Linked DNA regions of Pelodiscus sinensis. The protein of the gene in region 1 binds, or shares a complex with, the protein of each later gene. Links are inferred from orthologs where the notes say so. Each region holds a gene or a part of one and is shown on either strand. Other genes may lie near its edges.

Region 1 (7,774 bases):
TTTCAATCTTGTAAGGAAGAGTAAACAGAAATTGTAATACAAAAACAAGTAGTAGCTGGCATATAACCTTTGCACTATTTTACTGAAACAAGCACATGCCTTCATGCTAAGGATGTTAAATATCGAGTTATTTACTTGTCAAGCAGACGATGGAATTTCCATCGACTAGTCGATAGGCACTTCCACATTCCTTCTCTGAAATGTACAAGAGATGTTGGTGGGGCTCTTGTACATTTCAAAGGAGGAATGAGGAACTCTGTATGCAGCCCGGGGCCAGCAGGAGGTACCGCTGACTCTGGGCTGTACGCAGGCACCAGCTTTGAAATGCTTCATGGAGCCCAGGTCAGCTGGGGACCCTCCAGCTGACCCTGGACTCTGCACAGCATTTCTCCGGAACCCGGGATCAGCTGGGGGCTCCCCAGCTGACCCTGGGCTCTGCACACTGCGCTGGAACCCAGGATCAGCTAGGCAGTCCCCAGCTGACCCTAGGCTCCACGCAAACATTGTGGTGGAGTTTCAAAGGGGTAGCACTGCATGGAGCCTGGGGTCAGCTCCATGTGGTGCTGCTTTGAAATGCTGAGGCAGCGTTTCAAAAGGCAGTTCCATGCTGCACTGCCGCTTTGAAGTACCCCGTCTTTCCCGCCTCTGATAGAGGCAGCAAGGGGAGGGGGAACGAGCTAGTTGACTAGTCCTTAACATCCTTACTTCACGCTGCTTAAAAAAACTAAATAATCAAAATTAAGACAGAAATAGATACTTCAGGTTTAAGGTACCCATTTCAGACTGGCAAGCACGATTTTAGTTCACATTTCATTTTAAAATATGGGAGATTTGCATTCAGTAATATACACTGTTACCCAGAAGTGCTGGGTAACGTATTCTTTTATTTTGCCATTTAACCAATAACACTGCCAATTATAAAAGATGTAAGAAATGCAACACCTTTTTTTCCTAGTCACAATCTCCCACTTTTCCCAGCACATTGGTGGGTGGCAGTAGAGTGCAACTACCATGGGTATTTTGTCTTATCTCCTCCCTTCAGAGCAACAGGAAGAAGAAATGCTTTCATCCTAGGACTCTTCCCGCCCCCTCCTTCATTCTAAAACTCCAGTGCTGTTGAAAGAGGACAAAATGTTGTCTATTCTAACACAACATGTCAACATAGTCGCAGTGGATGATCCTCTTCACATCCCACTGACATCAAAAGCTAAGTAGAGGATACTTCCAGACCACTCAATTAGCCTCATTCGCACCAGCACTACAATTGACAGGTATTTTTTTCTTCCCCTCTTTCTTTTTCGGTTATAAATTGTGAGGTTTCCCCCCCTTTTCTCTCCACTCATCTGAGGAAGTGGGTTTTGCCCACAAAAGCTCATGATACCACATATATAGAAAAACTTCAGAGGGGTGGCCAAGTTATTAGTCTGTAACAGGAAAAACAACAACTGGATACCAGGTGACAGGAGTCATCTGAAAAAGTGAGGTGTGCTCATGAAAACCCATGATACCATCTACATTTTTTGTTAGTCTTTAAGGTGCTACTAGTCTATTGTTGTTGAAGTTTTTACATATATAAAGACTAACTCTCTCTCTATATATATAAATAAATAAATAAATAAAGTGCTACAGGACTACTTGTCTTTTCACTAGAGTGCAAGATAGCAGCAGCAGCATGGTCATCAGAAGAGCACTCAGAAGAGATACAAAGAACAGTCTTCAGCAACCAATACAAAATTCCCTCTTGCCAGTGATGAGAGGGCAAGGGAGCTTCAAAAGCCCTGGACAGACAGCAGTCTTCATAAACAAGGAGCCCTGCATCCCTAGAGATTGGTACAAGGTTTACAATAAAACTGTGTAGACTCAACCCAATACAGGTAGAGGAAGGTAAAATGAGTACTTCCTGAAAATAAGTATCCCTACCATGTCTGCAAATAAGTATCGCTGCCATGTCTCCATCAGAAAAAAAAACAACCTTAAGAACTGAATATATTATATAAAAAATAACCAGAGAATTCAGAATAATTCGAAAAGACCTGAGTTTTTCTAAACGAGGATATCCAACACAAAGTGTTAGTATACTGAAATGCTCTTCTGGCTCTTACATCTTTCCCCACATCTAGCTATGGGACATCTATTAGCGACATAATAAAATAGAGATGCACACGCAGAAGATCATTAAAACTGTAAGTTTTCTGTCTTTATCCAGGAAGTTCTCATTTCTTTATTTCTCCCCCCAGACACATTCTCCCCCCTTTCATGCCATTTTCCAATGCATCTCCTTGCATCTCTTCCCCCTTTCCTCTCTCACCTCTTCTGCATTTCTCGTATCGTCTGTGCTTCCCCACCCACACGATCATCCTTCCCATTTCCCCCCGGAGTGCATCCCTGGCGGACCCGCCCAGCTCCCCAAGGGGGTGCCTACTCTCGCCCGGAGCCCGCCGCCGCGGCTGGGAGGGCCGAGAAGGCGAAGAGGTGGCGGCTCTCTCCGCCCAGCGTGGGCCTGTGGTTTCTCCGAGCCCCCCTCAGGACGCCCGGGGGGTGGGGGTCGCGCCGCTTGTCTCCGCGCTGACAGTCGCAGGCCACGGCGGCGGGCGCGGGCCCAGCAGGGCAGCGCCCTCGCCTGACGCCGCCGGCGGGGACAGAGCCTCGCTACGGGGAGCCAGGGCCCCCGGCCGGCCGCCTCGCCACAGGGGCTCCGTCGGGTTCGCCCCGCCGCCTGACACCGCCCGGGCGCCGCGGCGCGGGACCGGCCGCCGAGCGGGCCCCGCGGGGGCCGGGCCGGGGCGGGCACTCACCGAGAGGACGCTCATGCGGAGCGGCGTCTCCAACACACACGCCATCTTGGGGGCGCGCGCGCGCGCGCGCGGCACCGGCGGCACCTTCAACCCCGCGCGAGGCAGCCAGCGCTACCGCCGCCACCGAGCCTGGCCCATCTCTGTGGGTGGGGGGAGGGGGCGGCGCCAGCGCCCGGCCGGGCCGCCGGAGCTGCTCTAACGAATCGGCGAGTACCAACTCCAAACTCGCTCCAACCGTTGCGCATGCGCCCATGGAGGCCTTTGGCGCCCTCAGGAGCACGGGAGGGGGGGGGCGGAATTGTTCCTTCTGACTCGGAGTGGGAATTGCAGTGCGCATGTGCCAACGCTGGAGCGCGGCGGGCAGCTGTGGCTGGAAGGCGGGGAATGAGCCATTGGGCGGGGAATGAGCAGCGGGGGCGGGAGCACTGGGCTGGTTATGGGGGCGCAGGGAGGGGAGTGGAGCTAGGAGGGGAGGGAGCTGAATGAGCACGGGGGGGGGGGGAGGCAGCACAGAAAGATGACGTGGGAATGGAGGGGAAAGGGGAGCTGCACAGTTAGCAAAATAGAGAGTTTGATCTATTAACCCTAGAAAATATCGATGATGGAAAACGTTCATTCTGGCTTTCTACAGGGGCTCTTGGTAAAAATGGATTCAAACACCAGGGGGAAAGGACAGTTTTACTACAGGACAATGGCTCTGGCAAATTAATGGCTTTTGCCTTATGTACTTCCCTTTATTACTTTTGAGGGTCTCATGTAAAGAGCATTCAACGGAATGGTTCTTTCAAGTGCTCTGTAATCCACACAAGATATCTTAGTGTTGAGCAGGAACTGATGCACTTACAAATGGTCTGTGATAAGTTTGACATATCATCAACCACCATGGGCTCAGTGACCATTGGTGTCCGATGCCTCTCTATTTCCTTCCATCTTTCCCTGTCCAGTGTACAGTGGCTTAGTTTCTGTAGACTAGCTCCACACCAATCTACTACAGCTTCTCTCCGAGTTACAAACAAGTTATGGACCAAACACTTGGCCATAACTCGAGCTGTTTGTAACTCGGACCCCATTGAGTTACATGCGACCGCGCTCTGCGTAAGCGCAGGTCGCGTTTGTAACTCAGGGACCGCCTTAAGACCGCTCCGTGGGAGCTTTGGTCGTAAGTACGAACGGTTGTAACTCGACCTTTCGCAACTCAGAGAGCAGCTGTATATAATCTACCTATTCTCTATAGGGTCTGCCTCTCCTATTCAGACCATCCATTATGCCAAATACCAGGGTCTTCACTTTTCTCTTATTGTTCATTCTGCAGATATGCCCGAATAGCTGTAATTTCCATTGTATAACCTGCAGTAGGTACTCTTTCAGCTGTATCTTCCTATATAAATTCATCATTGACCTTCTGCAGCCATCCTATTCTCAGGATCTTTCTATAACAACTCCTCTCAAATGCCAATATCCTGATTTTATTCATATTGTTGATTTACAATCAGCATATCGACACTCATCTGACCAACCCTCCTCCTTTATCCAGCCTTGGGACTGGCATGAAACCCCTACAGCCTTCCTAGCAGAGTTTAAGTTTATGTGCCACTCTGAAATTGAAACCAAAGAAATACACGCAGATACAAAAAGTGGAAGCCTGTCTTGAGGAAAACAGATGTTTCCACTACAGGTAAGAATATTACTCTGACTCCCCAGACGCTTGCAGCTGTGCAGTTTGGAAGAGCTCTGCTCCTGTTACAGGAAGTTCATTGATGGGTTTGCAAATAGAGCAAAGCCATTGCATAGCCGGGGGGAAAAGTAAAACCAATCCCATGATTTTGCTTTCAGAGTTAATGATACTTGTGACTCGTCTACTCTCCCGCTTACCTGCAATTCAAAACACCAGACACATTAGTGCAGGGATGTCGAATACACTAGCCAGATATGGCTAGTTGGCTGGTAGAGCCAAGGCTAGTTCACTAGAGCAGTAGCTACTACAGTGGCTACTGCTTTAGAACTGGTTGGATGCCACAATGCTAGGCTATGTCTAGATTGCAGGCTTCTTGCCCAAGAAGCTTTTTGCAGAAGAGGTCTTCTGCAAAAAAAAAACTTCTTGCACAAGAGCATGTCCACACTGCAAAAGTGCATCGGAAAAGCAATGCGCTTTTGCACAAGAGGGCGTCCAGGCTGCATGGATGCTCTCACAAGAAAGCTGTGATTGCCATTAACAGAATGGCCACCAGGGCACCTGTGCTTCTTTTGATAGGCTGTTTTTGCACCAAAAACCCCATTTCCCATCCACACCCACCTTTTTACGCAAGAGCTATTACACAAAAAGGCTTATTCCTCATACAAAGAGAAATAACTTGCACAAAAACCCCTCTTCTGATTTACTGTAAATTTTCTTGCACAAAAATGCACTAGAAGCGTGGACGTTCTGTGAGTTTTTGTGCAAAAACTCTACAGGCTAGATGTAGCCCTACTACTTAGGTACTGGGGCAGTATTAGTATATGACCAAGGCCTTAAAAAGGAAGCTGTTTGTTGGTTTACGCACTCCCTACACTGGAGATAAGCTAAGGACCCCAGCAAACACTACAGTCCATACAACAATAAGGGAACACATTATACTCTGTCAGCTCCCCCTTTTGTGTTGGCCATTTTCCATAGACAATTCCAGGACTTCATTTTCTTTTCAGATGCTTAATGTGTTCAAGGTCAGTAGGACTCAACAGTACAGTGGATGTCCCTAGTGCTCGAGGCTTGTACCTCTTCATGGGATCTGGAGATTTTGCTTAGCCTGACTGTTTCAGGGTGAAGGTGCATTAACTACAGGCACAAGTGTGCACCAGTAAGGTCGCACTGGAGTCAAACACAAAATTGCTATTGAACTTGATCCTGTAAGAGAAGGTTGGACAATTTTTGATGGTGGGCCACTTCAAGAATTTGGTAAGTGGACAAAGGCCACACTCTTCCATGATATTAATGGAGATGTGAGGTATGGGATGGAGGTTGGGTGCAGAAGGAAGCTTGAGACAGTTGGGGTGCAGGCAGGATTTTGGGTAGAGGAGGGGGTTGTAAGCTGGGGCAGATGTTTGGGGTGCTGGGCCTGGGAGAGGACACATGTGCAGAGGGTTGTGACTTGGGGCAAAGAGTTGGTGGGAGGGAAGAGCTGGGGTCCCAGATGCAGGCTCTGGCCAGGAGGCACTTACCTAGACGGTTCCCGCTCAGCAGGTCCCTTGGGAAGTCCCTGCCTTTCATGCCCCCGCATGCTTTTTGGAGCTGCTGGCTACAGAGAAATACATGGTCCCTGAGTACCACAAGTCCCAGCAGGTGTTTTGCACACTGTCTGCACTTCAAACACAGCCCAAACAGCTTCCCATTAGTTTCCAGCCAATGGGAACTGCGAGATTGTGCTGGGGGGAAAGGCAGTGCACAACGCCTGTCCCCAACTGCTCAAAGCAGCTCATGGTCCTTGCAGTCAGACAATTTACGCAACATGCAGAGGCAGGGTAGGCAGGAAGATTGCACAAGCCTCCCATTGGGCAATGGGCTGGATCTGGCAGCTTGTTGAGCTGAATCTACCCCATGAGTTGTATTTTGCCTGCCTCTGCTATATGATCACTATAGTACCTGAAACTGACTCCCTCCTTGTCACTGTACTGCTTTGCAGAGACTACAACACCATCAATGAGTCAGGGATGAATGTCCATAAGCAGGGCTTGATAAACAGCAGTGAAATCTGCTCGCCAGCCCCGCACTCCGCATGCGCAAGACCCGCATTGTGCATGCGCACGCTGCCGGTGAACAGGGCGACTGGTTGAAATCTACTCACCACGGGCAAGTAGATTTAGTGATTTGTCAAGCCCTGTCCATAAGAAATACGGTACTGAGAGAAAGGTTGAATGGTATGCAGTAAATAAGGCATACGGCTATTCACTGAATAAGGGTGAAATTAGTATAACAGAAAGCATCATCCATTCTATGCCCTGAAAGGGGCAAGGACCCAGTTTAGCTTTCAGATCCAACTTTTGAATCCTTGACATTCAACCTTAACATTCATTCAGTGTAGTTTGTGTGTGTAGGTTTTTTCTTTTAAAAAGCAAACCAAATCCATTATGCAGAAGCAGGCATCTTCCAGTCCATTTCAGGTTTTGACGCAAGTATATATAGAAATTAAGGGTCTGTTACAAGATGCCCATGAATCTGTGTTTCCTACTGCTAGTCTCCTGCCTCAGGAGAGATGTTCCCCCTTCTCTCAGTTCTAATATCTAAAGCTATGTCTACACAGTAGCTTCATTTCGGAATACCTGACGTTATTCCAAAATAACAGTACACGTCTACACTATAAGCAGTTATTTCAATAATGTCAAAATGATTGAGCTGGAGGAATTCTTACTCCGGCTTCTGTAACCCTCATTTTATGAGGAGTAAGGGAAGTTGGAAGAAGAGTGCTCTCTCTCAGACTTCCTGCTGTGCGGAAATAAGCTATTTTGACTTAAGCTACACAATTGACATAGCTCAAGTTGCATAGCTTATTTCGGCTTTAGCCCTGCTGTATAGACATGCTCTAACAGCATAGCCATCCCTGTGGTGAGAGCATCCTGCTCAGCACCTGCTACTCTGGGATGGAGCAAGCTCAGTGCAGACTGGAAGCTGTCAAAGAAGTTTCAGTAAGTGCAGGCAACACATTTTCATAGGGCCAGCAAAAGGCATAATGCTATGCATAAGGCAACTCCCTCAAATTTTAGCACCAAATGATGGAGACAGTAGAGCTTCAATAAAAAAACTGTTTAAATATCAAAAATAAATAAATAAAAGCACAAATATGGGCCTAGAAGGGATCTGGAGACATCACCTAGCCCATTCCACTCAGGCAGGACTAGGGATGTAAAATCCTGATTAAAAAGTTAACTGGTAAAACAAAATGCTGAACATTACAGTTAACTAGGATCCTGCAGCATGGCAGGCCTGGCCACGCCAGAGCAGACGGTGG
Region 2 (7,826 bases), on another chromosome or scaffold:
TCTACAAGACACAAGGTAATCAGACCAGCTAGAGTCTTGGAGAGGCAGCTGCTCTGACTTTATACGGTCCCACCCAGCCAACACTTGAAGAATCCTTATCATGGTAGTAACCGAGTAAGGTATAGTGATGCAAAACTGACTCCAAGCTGACGGGAATCTTTTCAGCTTTGGATCAGGCCCTGTGGACAGTGACAGGACAGGAGCTCGCTGGTGGCCTTGGGGTAAAGGCATCTGGATGAAAAGCATTTCCAGTCCCATTCACATGAGAGTTTGGCCAATGTTAGGCAGCAGTGGTTAACCCTCGAGTTAGACCCAATAGCTGCGAACGGGTGAGTCGCACTTTGCCCCAGCTCTGTGGGCCAAGCAAAAGCCAAGAAAGTGTAAAAACAATTACTAGCCTCAGCCCTTTAATACACCCATCTAGTGTACTGCTTTAGCTCAGAGACGTGGCTGCAGTGGCTACAGCTCCCAGCACGCTATGTTCCAAGAGGAGGCTGCCCATAACAGTGGCCTTAGCAAAATCACTTGTTAGATTCCTTCCCACCTGTGAGTTCACTGTGGCACTTCCCCTTCCACCAAAGCCCACAGCGCTCACCAGATGCATGGTGTAGAACTTGATGGTGTCCTGCTGGGAATCCCATTCTGTAGCAACTGCAATAGCCAGGGCCTCGCTGGGGACAGTGAAGAGTTTGGCCTGGGGCGTTTTCAGCTTCCTGTTGTCCAGATTTATTTCAAAGCCGCCTGTGGGATCAGATTAGAGACTTGGTAGGATTACAGGGGAAAGCGCACACAGGATCCAGATGCAACCCCTCTGGCAGGGGGAAGATTCAGAGACAAAGCTGAAGGGAGCAAATGTATCCCCAGCCAATGCCAGGGATTCACCTGGCCCAGGAGTCTCCCCACTGCAGGTCTAAGGGGCACCGTTCCTGGAGGCCGTTTTGCCAGCCATTTGGGATAAAGCTGGCTCGTGCGATCTGGTTTCCAGGCGTGTCCAGCATCCGCTGGCAGGTATGGCCCTTGTTCCAAGCAGAGCCTGAGAGACTAAGCGCTCTTCTCTCTGCCTGGCTGTCACACAAGGGGCCTTGCTGGACAGCCTACCAGACTCCTGGAGGAAGCACTCACCTTCGCCTTGGGAGATGCTAACGTTCTGGTAAAACTTCTTCCTTTCTGAGGGGAAAAAAAGACATCCACTCAGACAGCAGCAAAGGCAGCAGCCAAGACCCTCTCCTTTTCCCTGCCCGCTGCAGATTCACATGCCAGCTCCTGTAGGCAGTGCTCAGCATGACGCAGTTGGCCTCTCTCCCCATTTCAGAGCCTTACTGGTTCAGAATCCCTCTCCACAAGTCCATGTGCCCAAGTGGCTTTGGACCTGCCTGTGGGCTTTGGTGTGAGGTCTGTCCTGGGAGAGAGGGCTCACCGTGAACCAAGGGCCTCTCTTTAAGCAGAGCAGTTGCTTCCCTCTAGTATGCTGGACCCAGCTGTAGTTCCCTAATGTTTAACCAGTTAACCAACTATGCGGGATCCTACCACTCCAGCACCCCAGCCCACAGGGCTCCCACTCCTAGCCCCACACTGAGGCTGGCTCTGCCGGCTCACAGCTCCAGCCATATAGGGCTAGATGCTAGGGCTGCTCCCGGGGAACCGGTTAACCATTCACATCCCTCGCCCCTGCCCACATCTCTCTCATCTAATTAGACTGTAAACACTTGGGGGCAGGAACCATCTGCTTCTCTGTCGATGTCCAGCACCTCAGCTAGTAGAGGCCCACTCTCAAGTGGCCTGTAGGCACTACTGTAATAAACATGACCAATGATAATATTAAACAGATGTGAGGCCCCAGAGAACAGGACAGGCCTGGAATACATGCTGGTGCAATCCCTACCAGCAAGCCCCTCTTTGCCAGGCTGAATATTAAACTAGCCCTGCATCAGCCCAGCTCTTCAGCCACTACCTTGGAAACAAAAGTAATGTGACCTGTCGAGCATTGCTCAGCTGGCCATGGCTTTTCCACCCGCTGGAGAAGCAGCAACTCTAATCAGCAGGTACTATCGGTCCCATGTAGTTAAGGCAGGTCACCAATATCCAGCCAGCTTTTAAAACAGCTCCCTCTGGTGCGATTTCAGGCGGAAGCTGATGATATACCTGAATCTAGAATAGCCCCTAAATTACAGTGCCAAGCTAGCCTGTCACACTGCCCTGAACGCCCTCTGGCTGGATCCAGGAGCATTGCACGCAACACACTGTAAACCCATGTCCTGAGTGAGTTCACGTAGATGCCAGGTAGACCACAGCATACAATTTAATATATTGAGGGTCTACCTCCCGTTATGCTGCACCCACTATGTCAAGGAGAATGTCTGGTGCAATAAATAGCAAGTCTACCTTTAGGGCTACAGGTCATAGTTTTAGAAGCAATTTACATTTGGCATCTGCACTGTTGCAAGGCACAGCCATTAGACTTCTAAATGGCATGAACAGCACCTGCTAACTTCCTGACAGCATCCACATGTAACACAGTTAGATCCCTGCACTGACAGACAGCCCACCCTGCACAAAAACCACAGGCAACATAAATGAATTCAAAGGACTTCTAGGGCCTGTACTATGCAGGAGGCCCGACTAGCTGATCACAATGGTTCTTTCTGGCTTTGGAATGTAGGAATGAATTAACACGTGAAGACAGGCTCTCTGAGGGCATGCAGAGCAACAGCTGATAAATTCCAAACTGAAAGCTATAGGCTGGCCCTGTGGATCCAGTTCCCAGAGTCTGTGTTAACACAGAGACCCGGCCATTTAGACAGACACCTGGTCCCATTTCCCACACAAAACACAGAGAACACAAAACCTCTCCAAATCTTTGCCTTGGCAGTACAACATAGGTGTATGTACATAATCTCTAGAGTTAACAACTGTTACTGGACTGCAGCTCCATTTCTACATCTACTGTGCACACAGGGCCCCTGGGTTTCCAGAGTCCCAGTTAAGGCAGACTGCCTAGAAACAAGACAGTTGCAGGATCAAGGGACTTAAAGAATGCCATATTTTAAGGCTATTCAAGCATGCGCCCACAGCCTTGATCCTGCAACAAGACACCCTCACCCCCTCAAGTCCTGATTTAATGGGGCTCCAGGATGTGCATTTCATTGCAAGTTCAGAGTCTTAGTTTGTGAGAAACAAAGGATCAAATTTCACCATCCTCATACAAACAATTGAAATCACAGAGGAAAGATGTTGAAAGCACCACTTTACGACTAAGGAAGGATGGACTGGGGTGAAGGGACTCAGGAGACCTAGGTTTCATTTGCTGCTCTGCCACAGACTTTGTGTGTGACCTCCAGTTTTCTGTCCTTCCGCATCTCCTGTATAAAGTGGGAAATCACAGCACTGCTTAGCCCTACAAGGGGGCTGTGAGAAGGAGTAGATTAAAGAACTTGAGGTACTCAGCTGCCATGGTGATTGAGCTCATAACAGTACCTAAAATAGAACTGCAGGTACTCAGTGAGGCTGTATGCAGGCAGAGCAGCAGGCTCACATGCTGGCAGCAGGAGGCGTGAGGCATTAGATTTTGAGCTCACTGGGCCAGCGATGTCATTTTCTTTTGCCTCTGCACATAATAAATGTTTGTTGTTGGGCTTGATGTTTCAGATGTTCAGTTGGGGCCCATTCCACAAACCAGAGCTCTCCTCTGTAAATGGGGGACGGGGCATCACATCCCTCTCATAAACTGTGGTCACAGCTGGCTTTTACAACTAGTCAATTCCACCACTGAAAAACATCCCTGCAATTGGAAATAACCATGCTGAAATTTGCCGAGCATGCAGCAGGACTGCTGTCCAGCGTTGTCCTCACCTGTTGGTGGCGTGTATGCCCGTACCATGCACGGCAGCCAAAGACTGGGGCCCCCAACAGGAAGTGTTGGGCACAGCCATGGAGCCTGAGGCAGCCCGGCGTAGAACAGCCGCTGGCAACTGCGCCACATTCTGGGGAGACCGTGAGCTACAGCAAGATGGGAACGGCCTGGACTTGTTACATACAGGTGCGCCTAACACCTTGGGATGGCCTACCAGCATCTAGCCCCCCCCCCCCAAGAGCTCCCTGCCGGGATCACGGCCCCCCCCCCAAGAGCCCCCTGCCAGGATCACGCCCCCCCCCCAAGAGCCCCCTGCCGGGATCACGGCCCCTCCCCCAAAAGTTCCCTGCCGGGATCACGCCCCCCCCCCAAGAGCCCCCTGCCGGGATCACGGCCCCTCCCCCCCCCAAGAGCCCCCTGCCGGGATCACGGCCCCTCCCCCCCCCAAGAGCCCCCTGCCGGGATCACGGCCCCTCCCCCCCCCAAGAGCCCCCTGCCGGGATCACGGCCCCTCCCCCCCCAAGAGCCCCCTGCCGGGATCACGCCCCCCCCCAGAGCCCCCTGCCGGGATCACGCCCCCCCCCCCCAAGAGCCCCCTGCCGGGATCACGCCCCCCCCCAGAGCCCCCTGCCGGTACAAATAGGACCGGGAGGGGAAGGACAGACCCCCGCGGAGCCCACTGTACAGACCCGGGCCCCACTCCCTACGGGGCCGCACGGACGCGACTTGCGAGCCACCTGCCTCCACCTCACCGCCGCGGCCCGGTTACCCAGCCACTCTGCCTCTGGGCGCCGCCATCTTGCTCGCCCAGCGTCCAATCAGCATCACAAACGCTTTTTGTCCCTCCGAGGGCCCTGTCACAAGGCCCTCACAGAAACAACGATTCCCAGGAGCCAGCGCGGCCCCCACGTGACGCCCATCGCCCAATGGGAACGGCGCCCCGCCCGACGCGACGCCCGCTGGGCCAATCAGAGCGCGCGGAGGCGTCGCCGGGAGGCCCTGAGGTAGGCGGCGGGGGCAGCCGGCGAGCGCCCGGGTCAGCAAGGCGGCCGGGCCGGCTCCCTGCAGCCCGTGACACGCTGGCGCCCGGGGACCCCCCCGAGATGCCGGTGCGGAGCGAGTGCTGCTGCCCGGGGGGAGCGCGGGGCCGCGGGGCCGCCAGCCTGGTGCCGCCGCCCCCCATCAACACGGCGCAGCCCGGGGTCGCCACCTCCCTGCTCTACAGCGGGGCCAAGTTCCGCGGCCAGCAGCGCAGCAAGGGCAACGCCTACGAGGTGGAGGTGGTGATGCAGGTGCGGCCCCCCCCCGGCATCCCCCGTGTCCCCCAGCGCCCCCTCGGGCGGGACCCCCACAGCCCCTCCCGGCGCCCCCCCAACATCTCTCCCCTCTCGGGATCCCCCCCAGAGACCTCCCCAAAGCGCCCCTCCCCCCGACACCCCTCTCGAGCCCCCCCTCCTGCTTCCCTTTCTGGGGCCCCCCCAGAGACCTCCCCAAAGCGCCCCTCCCCCCGACACCCCTCTCGAGCCCCCCCCTCCTGCTTCCCTTTCTGGGGCCCCCCCAGAGACCTCCCCAAAGCGCCCCTCCCCCCGACACCCCTCTCGAGCCACCCCCTCCTGCTTCCCTTTCTGGGCCCCCCCAGAGACCTCCCCAAAGCGCCCCTCCCCCCCGACACCCCTCGAGCCACCCCCTCCTGCTTCCCTTTCTGGGGCCCCCCCAGAGACCTCCCCAAAGGGCCCCTCCCCCCCGACACCCCTCGAGCCACCCCCTCCTGCTTCCCTTTCTGGGCCCCCCCCAGAGACCTCCCCAAAGCGCCCCTCCCCCCGACACCCCTCTCGAGCCACCCCCTCCTGCTTCCCTTTCTGGGGCCCCCCCAGAGACCTCCCCAAAGCGCCCCTCCCCCCCGACACTCCTCGAGCCCCCCCCTCCTGCTTCCCTTTCTGGGGCCCCCCCAGAGACCTCCCCAAAGCGCCCCTCCCCCCCGACACCCCTCGAGCCACCCCCTCCTGCTTCCCTTTCTGGGGTCCCCCCAGAGACCTCCCCAAAGGGCCCCTCCCTCCCCAGGGCATCCCCTCCAGTCCCAAGATGCCGCCTTCTGCAGTTCTCCCACCAGGGATTCCTACCCCCCTCCCCCAGCATCTCTCCTCCTTGGGGCATCTCCCCTGAGCGTCCCTCGTCTTGAGGGAACCCTTCCACCACCACCCTGTAGCCCTTCCTGGGGCTCTCCTATGAGTGATCCATCCCCAAGTGTCTCTCCCTTTAGAGGAATCCACCTGAGCGCTTCTCTCTGCTGTGAGGCACCCTCCCCCCCCAGTGCTCCCCTGCACCTCTCCTGGGGTCCTCCCCCAGGGACACCCCCTAGAGTGCCGTCATTTGGGGACTTCCTAGTTTGTCCCTGTCTGCTGCTGGGGTCTTCCTAGTGGGACTTCCCTCGAGAGCATCCTCTGCTGCTCTCCCAGCAGCCTCCTCCTAGAGCACCTCTAGCATCTTCCCTCTCACTCTACCCTAGACTGTCTCCCAGGGACCTCCTGAGCAGCACCTACCCCCCCCCCCCGCCCGCCGATTCCCCCAGTACCCCATGTCTCATCTTTTAGGGTCCTTTCTCTTGAGATCCCCCTATTCTCCTAGAGCACCTCTTGGGGATTCTTCTGTTCACTTCCTGCCCCACTGCGGCCTTCTTTGGAGGACCTCTGACCAGCAGAGCATGGACTTCTGTGCAACCCAGGCACTCACAGGCCCCCTGAGAACTCTCCTCCAATGACTACTCCATAGAGATTTCTTTCCCTAATTCCCCCATTTCACAGAGATCAAGAACCAACATCGGTACATGCAATATTTTATTTTAAAGCATCTTTCTTTCTCAGATTGGGTCCTTGGTCCCTGAGATGTCCACAAGGACTGCCTTCCTTTATGTATCCATGTTGACCCCATAACATCCCCTCATGTGATTTCTCCATTCCTAAGGCACCCCTTCCCTCAAATTGGGACCTACTGCTCCTAAGACCTTTGTTTTGGGTCCCCCACTTCTAGGGAACTTCATCTTCAGAGATCAGGTGGGGACCCCAGACCAAATAGCACAGGCTGGGTCTGTGAGGTGGCTGTCCAGGGGAGGTTAGGGACCCTTCCTACCCAGGGAAGGCCTTCATGACTCCAGATGTACCCTGGCCCAGCAGCACTTGCGAGGGGCAGGTGATGTGGGTGGATCCCCTTCCCCAGAACACCCTTTGCCCCCAATTTGGATCTGAAACTCAAGAGTAGCTGTATAACAGAGAAAAACAATCTCTGATCTGGGCAAGGTAGGTGACACCTTTCTAGGGACCCATCAGGCCTACAGCCCAAATTGCCCCTTCCTGGAGCAGTGGGAGTAGAACAGAGTAAGTGAATGAAACTAGCTTGAGTCTTCTTCCCACAGCTGCAGTTGAGGAAGAAAAGCAGCTGGGACTGGCTGAGTGGGTAGTTGCATGGCAAGCCAGGCTACATCAAGAGGGCTGGGGAGGAAACTACTGCATCACATGCTTGTCATCTGGGTGTAAGCTGTTCTCCAGCCATCATAGACACTGCCAAGCTGTGCACAGAAATTCAAATGACGCCCCCGGTGATTAGCAGAGTCCCACAGCTAGGCTTTTTGTTTCTACTGGTGGTGCACATCTGCACATCCCTCTGTGCACGTATAAATGTATTCCGCACATGGTTGGAAAAGATTAGAGGAAACGTTGATCATAGGTGTTTTGGCCCTGGGGGCTTGCATGGGGATTTCAGCCTTTCAGCCCTGAGATTAACAATCCCTGCATGTCTTGTCTCTGTCTTGGAAGTGTTTGGCTCTCACCGTGACAAGGGGACAATGGCCGTGCCTACTGGCATGTCAGCAGCACAGCTTCAAGGCTGCAGATGTGTCATTGTGGTATAGTGTAATCCCTTCTTACTGCAACAGGGCTTTTTCTGTTGTGGTAGTTAATCCTGCTCTGTGGTCTGTGGTAGC
Region 3 (7,945 bases), on another chromosome or scaffold:
ATAAGGTATATACAAAAGTACAGATTTATCAAACATGAATACATCCAATTGTCTTATATAGCTCTGACACACAAATGTTGCTTAAACAAGATGTCAGGAGGCTTGGAAGCATTTCAGATATGTTGCTAGAAGGAACTACTGGACATAATATAGTTTGATTTTCTCAGCAATAGGGATGTATTATTGAGAAGTGACCTGTAGAGGATTGAAGTCCTCATCAGTCACCACCAGATGCACTTTTTGGTCACACAGCCAAAGTCCCTGAACATTGAGCCCTGAAAATCAGATTTGCGGTCGGGAGGAGATACTGTATGGCTACAGACTGGCTGGGCTGCACCACATTAGTAATAACCCTCTGGAGCTTTTATAGACACTTGGAGTAAAGCTATATGATGTGGATATTGACATTCAGTGCTATGGAACTTTGTGGTCTAAATGTTGTTTTCTGAATTTCTATATAATAAACCAAATTAAGAGAATATACAAAGATGTGCAGAAAATCCTATTAGGAATCATTTCAATGAAGCTGGCATTTTTGTAAATATATCAAAATAAAAACTTCACATTTAATTCTCCTTAAATCCATTCAGTTCCTATCCCTTCTATATTTAACTATATATAAAATAAAATTTTACTGGGAAGGATTCAAGTTTATCATTTACCCCATTATTGGACCTGTCAGGCATATTTAGGCATGGTTATTCTTTTGCAGGAAAAACAATAGCAAAAACTGGTTCCTGATAACCACTGGGGGCTGAAACAGCTCCCTGCCTCCCATAAGGGGATGCTTCAGCTTCAGGGAGCCTACTGAAGACAGGAGGGGAGCCCTCCGCCACCTGCCTTCTCTTTAATCAGCTAACTAGTTAAATATCATGTTTAAGCAGTTAATCAACTGAACAGGATTTTACATCCCTCATAGACATTTTATAATTAGCATAAACATGACTCATCTGCATACCACATTAAGGCTCTTTTTATCTTACAAAAAAAAAGGCTCTCAACTATACAAGCACTAGGGATGTGAAAAGATAACCAGTTAACTGGTAAACTTACTGATTCAGGTTAACCATGGGGGCTGGAGCAGCTCCCTACCTGCTGCATTAGGTTTACCTGATGTTTAACTGATTAACCAGAATTTTACATTCTTATTAGGCACTCTTTTCCTACATATAAACAACTTATGACAAACTTGGCATGGTCACTCAAGTGTGTCTTCCACTGCTCAGGTTCCAGCTCCATATACACAAACAGGGGGGACACTTGATGCGTATGAACAGCTCCACTATGGTGCATCTTGAAATGGAAATTAATATATCACATTGCCAAATGACAATTTCTGAGGGGTTTCTGGTTTCTCTTAAGTTGCAGTTTCTGGATGTCTCACATGTTTAGTATTCTGATATTCTTGAGCTGTTTTGGGAACATTATTTCCTCAGAATTATTCTGCTCTTTCGACTAAATTAGCTGAAGCTGGTTTCTGATCATTCCTCCTGTTCTGTGATGAAAAGAGTGTGGATACAGTTTGTTCAATGCTGTCCAGATTACATTAGTAAAAGCCATCACACGCTCAGTTTAAGGAAAATAGTATAATCAAAGGTGCGATATTAAACTCTGAGCAGTCTTTGTTAACAGTATTTCAAACCAGAAATGCCATAAAGGAAACAGCTTTTTAACAGAAAAACTAAGATTAAAACAGGAAATATATATTGGGTAAAACCAGTAGAGTCTAAATAGTTAAAGTAAAGAACATTTGGTTCTTTAATGTTTTGCTTAGCAAAAATAATGTGCTGCTAATAGGGTGCGTGTGATATGCTAATAAAAAAGTAATTAGGCAGTACTGAAATTGTTTTTCCTTTACTCATTTTAAAACTATTTTTATTAAGCTATATTTTCTGTGAATTCTAGAAAAAATATTTTCTAGAAACCACAGAAAATATAGGCAATAGTGATATCTATTAATATCAACCATTTAATAGCTTATTCTAGTAAGGATGAATTGTATTGATTAAAATAAACAGCAGATGATCCAAAAATAAACCAACCTACGAAATGTAATACTAGCATCCATTACTCACTATTACCTGTAACAAGATAATTCATGATCAGGCGATTCATATCGGCTCTCTGGATATGCAAGTTATTGAGTTTTTCCATCCATTCATCTTTTGTGATTTCATCAGGTTTTTCTGCATAACTCATCCTGGACTTTCACTAAAAGGGATGAAAAGTATCTTTCTGGGCACACATACCAGCTGGTGAAAGAAAAGTTAAGTCTAATTTGCCTAGAAGAACGATGTGACCAGCTCGGTTATTTATACCTTCTGGGCGGGTTCAAGACATCGTGTTGGCTAAACAAAAGGTGAGCAAACGGAGAACTGAACTCTTCTGCTTTTGAGATCCGCCACTGTATCTGAAACCCACCGTACACCCCCTTCTCGCTCTCTCCCCTCCCCCCTAAACAACAGACGCCACTGTACGGACGTTCCCTCCCCACACACGGCCGCCCACCGAGTCGCCCCTCCGAGGGGTCCCACAGCCCGTCTCTCACACAGGCTGCCCGGCCCCGCACCTCACAAGGGGCCGAGGGTCGGCCGGGTGGCCCGGCTCGCTGCCGGTCTTCACAGCATCGCCTCCAAGGCGCTAAAGGCTTCCTCGGCCCTCCCAAGCGCGCCCGTCCCTCAGCCCCGCTGCCCCCGTGGGGAGGGGTCCGGCCTGCTGGGCTCTTCGGAGGCTGCGGCCGCTTGTGCCGCCAAGCCCCGAGCCCCCTCCTCAGGCTCCATCCCGCCCGGGATCGGACCCCCTGCCTGGGCCCAGCGCCGTCTCGCCCCACGGGAGGAAAGGGGCCGCCAGGCGCCATCTTACCGAACGAGCCACCGCCGCCGGCTCCGGTGCACGGGCCCAGAACCCCACTCCGCCTCCTCCCTCCGCCGGGACGCTGGGCTCAACTATCGTCTCGCGAGAACTTGCCTCCCAGCCAATCCGCTGCCGGAGCCGGCGGGCCGCGCGCACCATAGAGATGGGAGGAAGAGGAAACCCAGAGGCGACCTAGAGGGGAAAGCACCATAGAGATTACGGAAGGCAAGCCCAGAGAGGTAGCCCGGGAGGTACCATAGAGATTGTGGGAGGGAGGCCTTGTAGGCTGTGCCAACAAGTGGAGAGCGTTGGCGTGGACCTGTGGTGGGCGCTGACCACCCTCCCCTGGGCCACCCCTGGGCCTGGCTGACAGGCTCTGTAGGATCAGGGCCTCTCAGCCAGGCCAGTGATTAGGCCCATGCAAGTCAGTGGGTGAATGTGAATCTCAAGCACACAGTGGGGCATGCAGGACTGGGGGGCCAACTCTGAACACAGACTAAGCCTGGCTGCACAGGGATTATTATTGGGAGGTAGGGATTGTGCAGGGAGAGTTTCCCGTAGGCCTTGTCTGCCCTAGGCACAGACCAGAGGATTGTTTTGATCATGCCAGTGTATTTCAAACATGACAAGTCCTGCAATGTGGACACAGTTACACTGGTATCCTTTCTGCCATGTAAAGGTCCAAACAAGGGAGTGTACCAGTGTAACTATTTCAGTTGAGAAACATAATTTTTAAAAAAAATCAGCCCCTAGCAGAAATAGGTAAATCCGTATTAAAACAGAAGCCTGTATTTTCAGAACAATATACAGCAGGGTCCTCCAGGAAAACTGGTCATTTTACTTTCTCCTATCTCCATGAAAAGCAATAATTTAAAGTTGCTCTCTGCACTCATTTTTTGCAATTGTCCCAAAAAGCATAACCCCTAGTCTTGGATGAACTGGTCATCAAGTCAAGCCCCCTGCGGGAAGAACTTTACATTTGAGTTATTTCTCAAAACAGGTCTCTACTGAATCTTTGTAATCAAAACAGATTTTTGAACAAGTAGGTATCTCTCTATATATAAACATTTTTCCTGTGCGACAACAGAATGATGTTTTCACATCACTCTGCGTCCACAGGAGCCAAGTCCCACCCACTCCCAGCCTGGCCTTCGCCAGGGCCCATGTGGAGAGCTAGGGCTGCCTGTGGCCCCAGCCCTTCCCTCCTCTCCCCTTTCCAGCAGCTGGAGGAGAGCTGTAGCTGCCACAGCCTCCGCAGAGCCCTTCCCAGCAGTGGAGGGAGGGGGGAGAGACCAGGGCTGGCATGGTCTTGGTCCAGCCCCTCCCTGCGGCTGTGGAGAGAGCCGTGCCCAGTGCAGCCTCAGCTTGCCCTCCTGGCAGCCAGGCAGAGCTAAGAACCAGGACCCGCCAACAGGGGGATGGGGGCAATGGCTGGTGCGACCTCAGATTCCCCAGTGGCCAAGGGACTGGGGGCGGGGAATAGCTGGGGCTGCCCCAGGTCCTCCTGGTGGCTGGTGGGAAGAGATGAGCGGGGCCCAGGGCGGCTTTGGACCCTTCCCGGTAGCTGAGGATAGGGGGGAGAACCCCGGGGCCGCTATGGGCCCTCCCCAGTGGCGAGGTGGTGATGGTGGTTGGCAAGTGTAGCAAGCAGAGGGCATAGCCCCCTACTATTATTAATTATCATAAGCACTTCAAAGTTACTGTTGAAGAGCACTACAAAATATGAGTGTGAGATACAAATAAAAAAAACCATAAACCTTGCATCTGTGACTCCAGATAATAGTGCAGGCCTCTACATTTGTCAATCATCTTATTCTTATCTTCTATAATCCACTCGAAAGCATGATTTAAAGTCAGTTTAATTTAGTGGAAAGATACCTATTTATTTTAATGGGTTTTGCATCAACCTTCTGGAATTCATCAGGAATAATATAAGGTGTAAGCAAGGAAACTCAGGAAGTTTCTGGCTCCCAACCAGAAGCATAGGACTTATTTTCTATGTTTCTTTAATTAATATGATTGAAGAACATATCCTGACCAATCACTCCCCAAACCTTCAAATTATCTGACCTTACTAACTCCTCCCTAAAAGGAGGGGTTTATCTGGAGACTTCTATATAGGTGGGGAGGTTGGGTAGGTCCAGTCCCTATGACTACTTCCTGATTCTATTTTACAGAGGTCCACACCTCAAACACAGGAAAAGAAGAGAAGGCTGTAGCAGAGTATAACTGAGACTACAACTGCAACAACAGGTAAAAAGAAAACAAAAATTTTGAAATCAGATTATAACAGCAGGAAAAATAAATATGTCTTGTTGAATAAAAAAACAAGGGAAAGTTTGACCAGGTATGTGCAGCTGTGTTGGTTCCTAGTTTCTTCACAGTTTCAGGCAAACAAAACACACATTATTTATAATTTTCCCTTCATTGACTTATGTATAATATAATTTTCCCTTAATTGACTTTGCACAATATAAATGGAAATTGAGAGAAAAATAGGTGCTGTACTACAACTATTGCTTCCAGGGGCACACTGCTCCTCCTCTATTTTGGGTGTGAAAATATAGAATGACAAACAATGATATGTGTACAAACAGTTTCCTGTAGAGCTTAAGCTTTTTTGGGGGGAGGGAGGAGGGTTTAGTAATTTTTGTTTAAAAAAAATGTTTTGAATGTTACCTGAGCAAATGCCTTTTTAATGAGTTTGCAAACAAAGGAAAACTGTGAAATCTTAGGAGCATTCTATTTGTTTTAATGATGTGGAAGAAAACGTTGTCCTCACTCTGAGTTTGTAAGCAACAAGTAGCCAGAGGCAGTTTTATTAGGAGCTGCAGCAAGGGAAAAACTGGTTCGGACGGGGGGGAGCACCCCCGAGGCAGATCTTCAAATACAAGCAATTATGAAGCAGTTTATATACTGTCTATTAAATATAATAACAATAACAATTAGTCTCCTTCCCATTACAAACACCAATGGCTAACAGTTATTTAGTTCCACCCAGATGCTCCTTATCTCAAGGTCCCTGCCAGAGTCAGCATTCTACCCTTATCTTGGTATGGAGGCGAGAGGCAAAGGCAGCGTCTAATCACAGATCTTGCATTGTCAGACCACAGACTTAGCCTGACTCTTGCTTTCTTGTTAACAAGACCAAGATGGCTGCACACAAATTCCCTTATTCCCTTTTCCTGCCTCCACAATGATGAAAACACATGTCCATATTAACTCTCATTTTCTTGGTAGAAATATCTTCTTAATGTATATAAGTTTTAAAGTATGTTTTAAAGATTCAAATAATTTCTAAATCTGTATGGTCTTGATTTGTTTTGTCTGCATTGTCAGCCAGTCTTCCTTACAAACATCATAGTTTATGAAGAAAATCCTGGATATTTTGGTGAATCAGCGTCTAACTGATTATAGTGACTCAAGTTTTATCCTAGTTTCAATGTATTATAAATACATTATTGGCTGGCCTGCCAGCTTACTCATTCTCCTCTCTCTACCTTATACCAGGTGGAGTAAGTGTTGGATCATCCACTGTGTAATGCCTGCTGGTCTGTCCAATTAACTGTGCGCTCAGGTGGGCTCTCCGATTCCTAGTACTGTATGATCTGGCATGCTTTAAGATTTAGAAGCACCAGGTCATATTTGAAGCATATGTACAATGTGAGGTGGGAAACAGGTCCTTAACTCCTTCATTAAGGTAGGTGCTCTCAATAGATGAAGAAAGGAGACTGGAATGTATTAAACTGTGAGGGAAGGGTGTCTGGAAAGCAAGTGGGAAAATTTCCCCACATAATTTCTTTCCTCCCCAATGCAAAGCCCATGCTACTCTCTAGGACAAATATCCCAATAACAAACACTTCACATTTCCCACACCCTATCTGCCAAAACATTTCTGTATTGTGTAAGAGAAGTCCCAAACTCTTTAAAATGTCATTCTGTGACTTGAGGGTTGGATGAGATAGAAGAAGTTGGATGCTTAGAAGAAGCAGTCTTTAGTGGTAATTTCTAGGGCCTACCAAATTCACAGCCATGAAAAATGCGTCACGGACCGTGAAAATAGATCTCCTTCCAAGAAATCAGGTTTTTTGTGTGCTGATATATAGATTTCATGGGAGAGGCCAGTGTTTCTGAAACTGGAGGTCCTGAACCAAAAGGGAATTGCAGGGGGTTCTCAATATTGCTATCCTTACTTCTGCACTGCCTTCAGAACTGGGTGGCAAGAGAGTGATAGCTTCTGACTAAGAGCCCAGCTCTCAAGGCAGCAGAACAGAACTAAAGGTGGCATGTTATGCACCATCCACCCCCATAACTCTTTTTTGGGTCATGACCCATACCATTACAACACTGTGAAATTTCAAATTTGAATAGCTGAAATAATGGTATTTTTTATTTTTAAAATCTTATGACTATGAAATAGGCCAAAATGGACCATGAATTTGGTAGGGCCCTTATTATTTCAGAGTGGCAATATGCTCCCCGCTTGGAAGAGACTGGACCAAATAATAGCAGCAACATCTCCCATGTTCCAGTGTCCTGCAGACACTAGAAAACAGCAAGGCTAATCTTTATTATTTTTATTTATATTTGAGGTTTTTCCCTCAAAATAAGAGAACAAAAAAAAAAGGAAAAAGTAAACTACTGAGGAAATCAAAAGAGAGGGGGGCAGAGAGAGGAAAGGAAGAATTACATTGGCTTTTGTTTAGTAGGAATTAATCAAAGATGTATAAAAAGTCAGACCAAATCTTTAAAAAAATATTTGAGGTCCCTCTATGTTTGAAACATTACCAGGTATTTAGCAGATTGGTCAGCCAACTCCCTGTGCCACACTTCTTTCTCTGGAGGCAATCTGCTCTTCCATCACAGCAGCATGACTTGTGTTGACTAAAAGTACTGCTCTAAAGAACCAAGCTTTCCATGAGTGTAAGAGTTTCAAAGATGATGGGATGTATTCCAAAATAGTTTTCTGTAAAATCTTCTATTAACTACAACTTTGTAAGGACTTTAAAAAGTAGGAAAAAAGGACTTCTGCTCTAGTTACAAAGTGTTAAACCCATTCAGATTGATTGGTATGGGAAAATTTTACTTTTTT

What was found.
Region 2: the proteins of ARMC8 (region 1) and GID4 are in contact, whole or in part, in a cryo-EM structure (PDB 7NSC), measured with the Homo sapiens proteins. The link is inferred for Pelodiscus sinensis from reciprocal best matches to the Homo sapiens genes ARMC8 and GID4. Residues at the interface, in NP_001350870.1 of Homo sapiens: Glu309, Pro310, Asp311, Val312, Asn371, Glu373, Arg406, His409, Arg413, Ser414, Val415, Gln416, Arg419, Thr420, Gln423, Asp424, Val444, Ser448, Cys451, Asn452, Leu455, Phe457, Ala483, Val486, Asn487, Trp490, Met493, Asn494, Phe497, Gln498; in NP_076957.3 of Homo sapiens: Leu104, Ile105, Pro106, Pro107, Pro108, Pro109, Ile110, Gln114, Pro115, Gly116, Val117, Ala118, Thr119, Gly125, Gln146, His147, Tyr154, Cys156, Tyr158, Phe174, Glu176, Phe239, Val241, Pro242, His244, His292, Ser293, Ala294, Pro295, Ile296.
Region 3: the proteins of ARMC8 (region 1) and GID8 are in contact, whole or in part, in a cryo-EM structure (PDB 7NSC), measured with the Homo sapiens proteins. The link is inferred for Pelodiscus sinensis from reciprocal best matches to the Homo sapiens genes ARMC8 and GID8. Residues at the interface, in NP_001350870.1 of Homo sapiens: Asn45, Val47, Ile48, Gly49, Asn50, Val85, Ser89, Met92, Arg127, Arg130, Arg161, Tyr162, Tyr166, Leu200, Ser201, Tyr202; in NP_060366.1 of Homo sapiens: Ile83, Ala84, Asn87, His90, Pro91, Glu92, Leu94, Asp95, Thr96, Tyr101, Tyr183, Glu184, Asn185.

Annotation. Positions count from the first base shown.
Region 1 is NC_134720.1:4,087,082-4,094,855, forward strand, and holds the start of ARMC8 (armadillo repeat-containing protein 8), read right to left. Parts: upstream 3,055-7,774; 5' UTR 2,841-3,054; coding exon 2,796-2,840; intron 2,479-2,795; exon of another isoform or gene 2,423-2,478; intron 1-2,422. UniProt on the Homo sapiens protein: Component of the CTLH E3 ubiquitin-protein ligase complex that selectively accepts ubiquitin from UBE2H and mediates ubiquitination and subsequent proteasomal degradation of the transcription factor HBP1.
Region 2 is NC_134726.1:33,124,130-33,131,955, reverse strand, and holds the start of GID4 (glucose-induced degradation protein 4 homolog), read left to right. Parts: upstream 1-4,824; 5' UTR 4,825-4,953; coding exon 4,954-5,142; intron 5,143-7,826. Other genes in the region: ATPAF2 (ATP synthase mitochondrial F1 complex assembly factor 2), read right to left, coding at 1-1, 596-741, 1,123-1,167, 3,850-3,979.
Region 3 is NC_134728.1:7,429,169-7,437,113, forward strand, and holds the start of GID8 (glucose-induced degradation protein 8 homolog), read right to left. Parts: upstream 3,018-7,945; 5' UTR 2,863-3,017; intron 2,212-2,862; 5' UTR 2,200-2,211; coding exon 2,082-2,199; intron 1-2,081. UniProt on the Homo sapiens protein: Core component of the CTLH E3 ubiquitin-protein ligase complex that selectively accepts ubiquitin from UBE2H and mediates ubiquitination and subsequent proteasomal degradation of the transcription factor HBP1.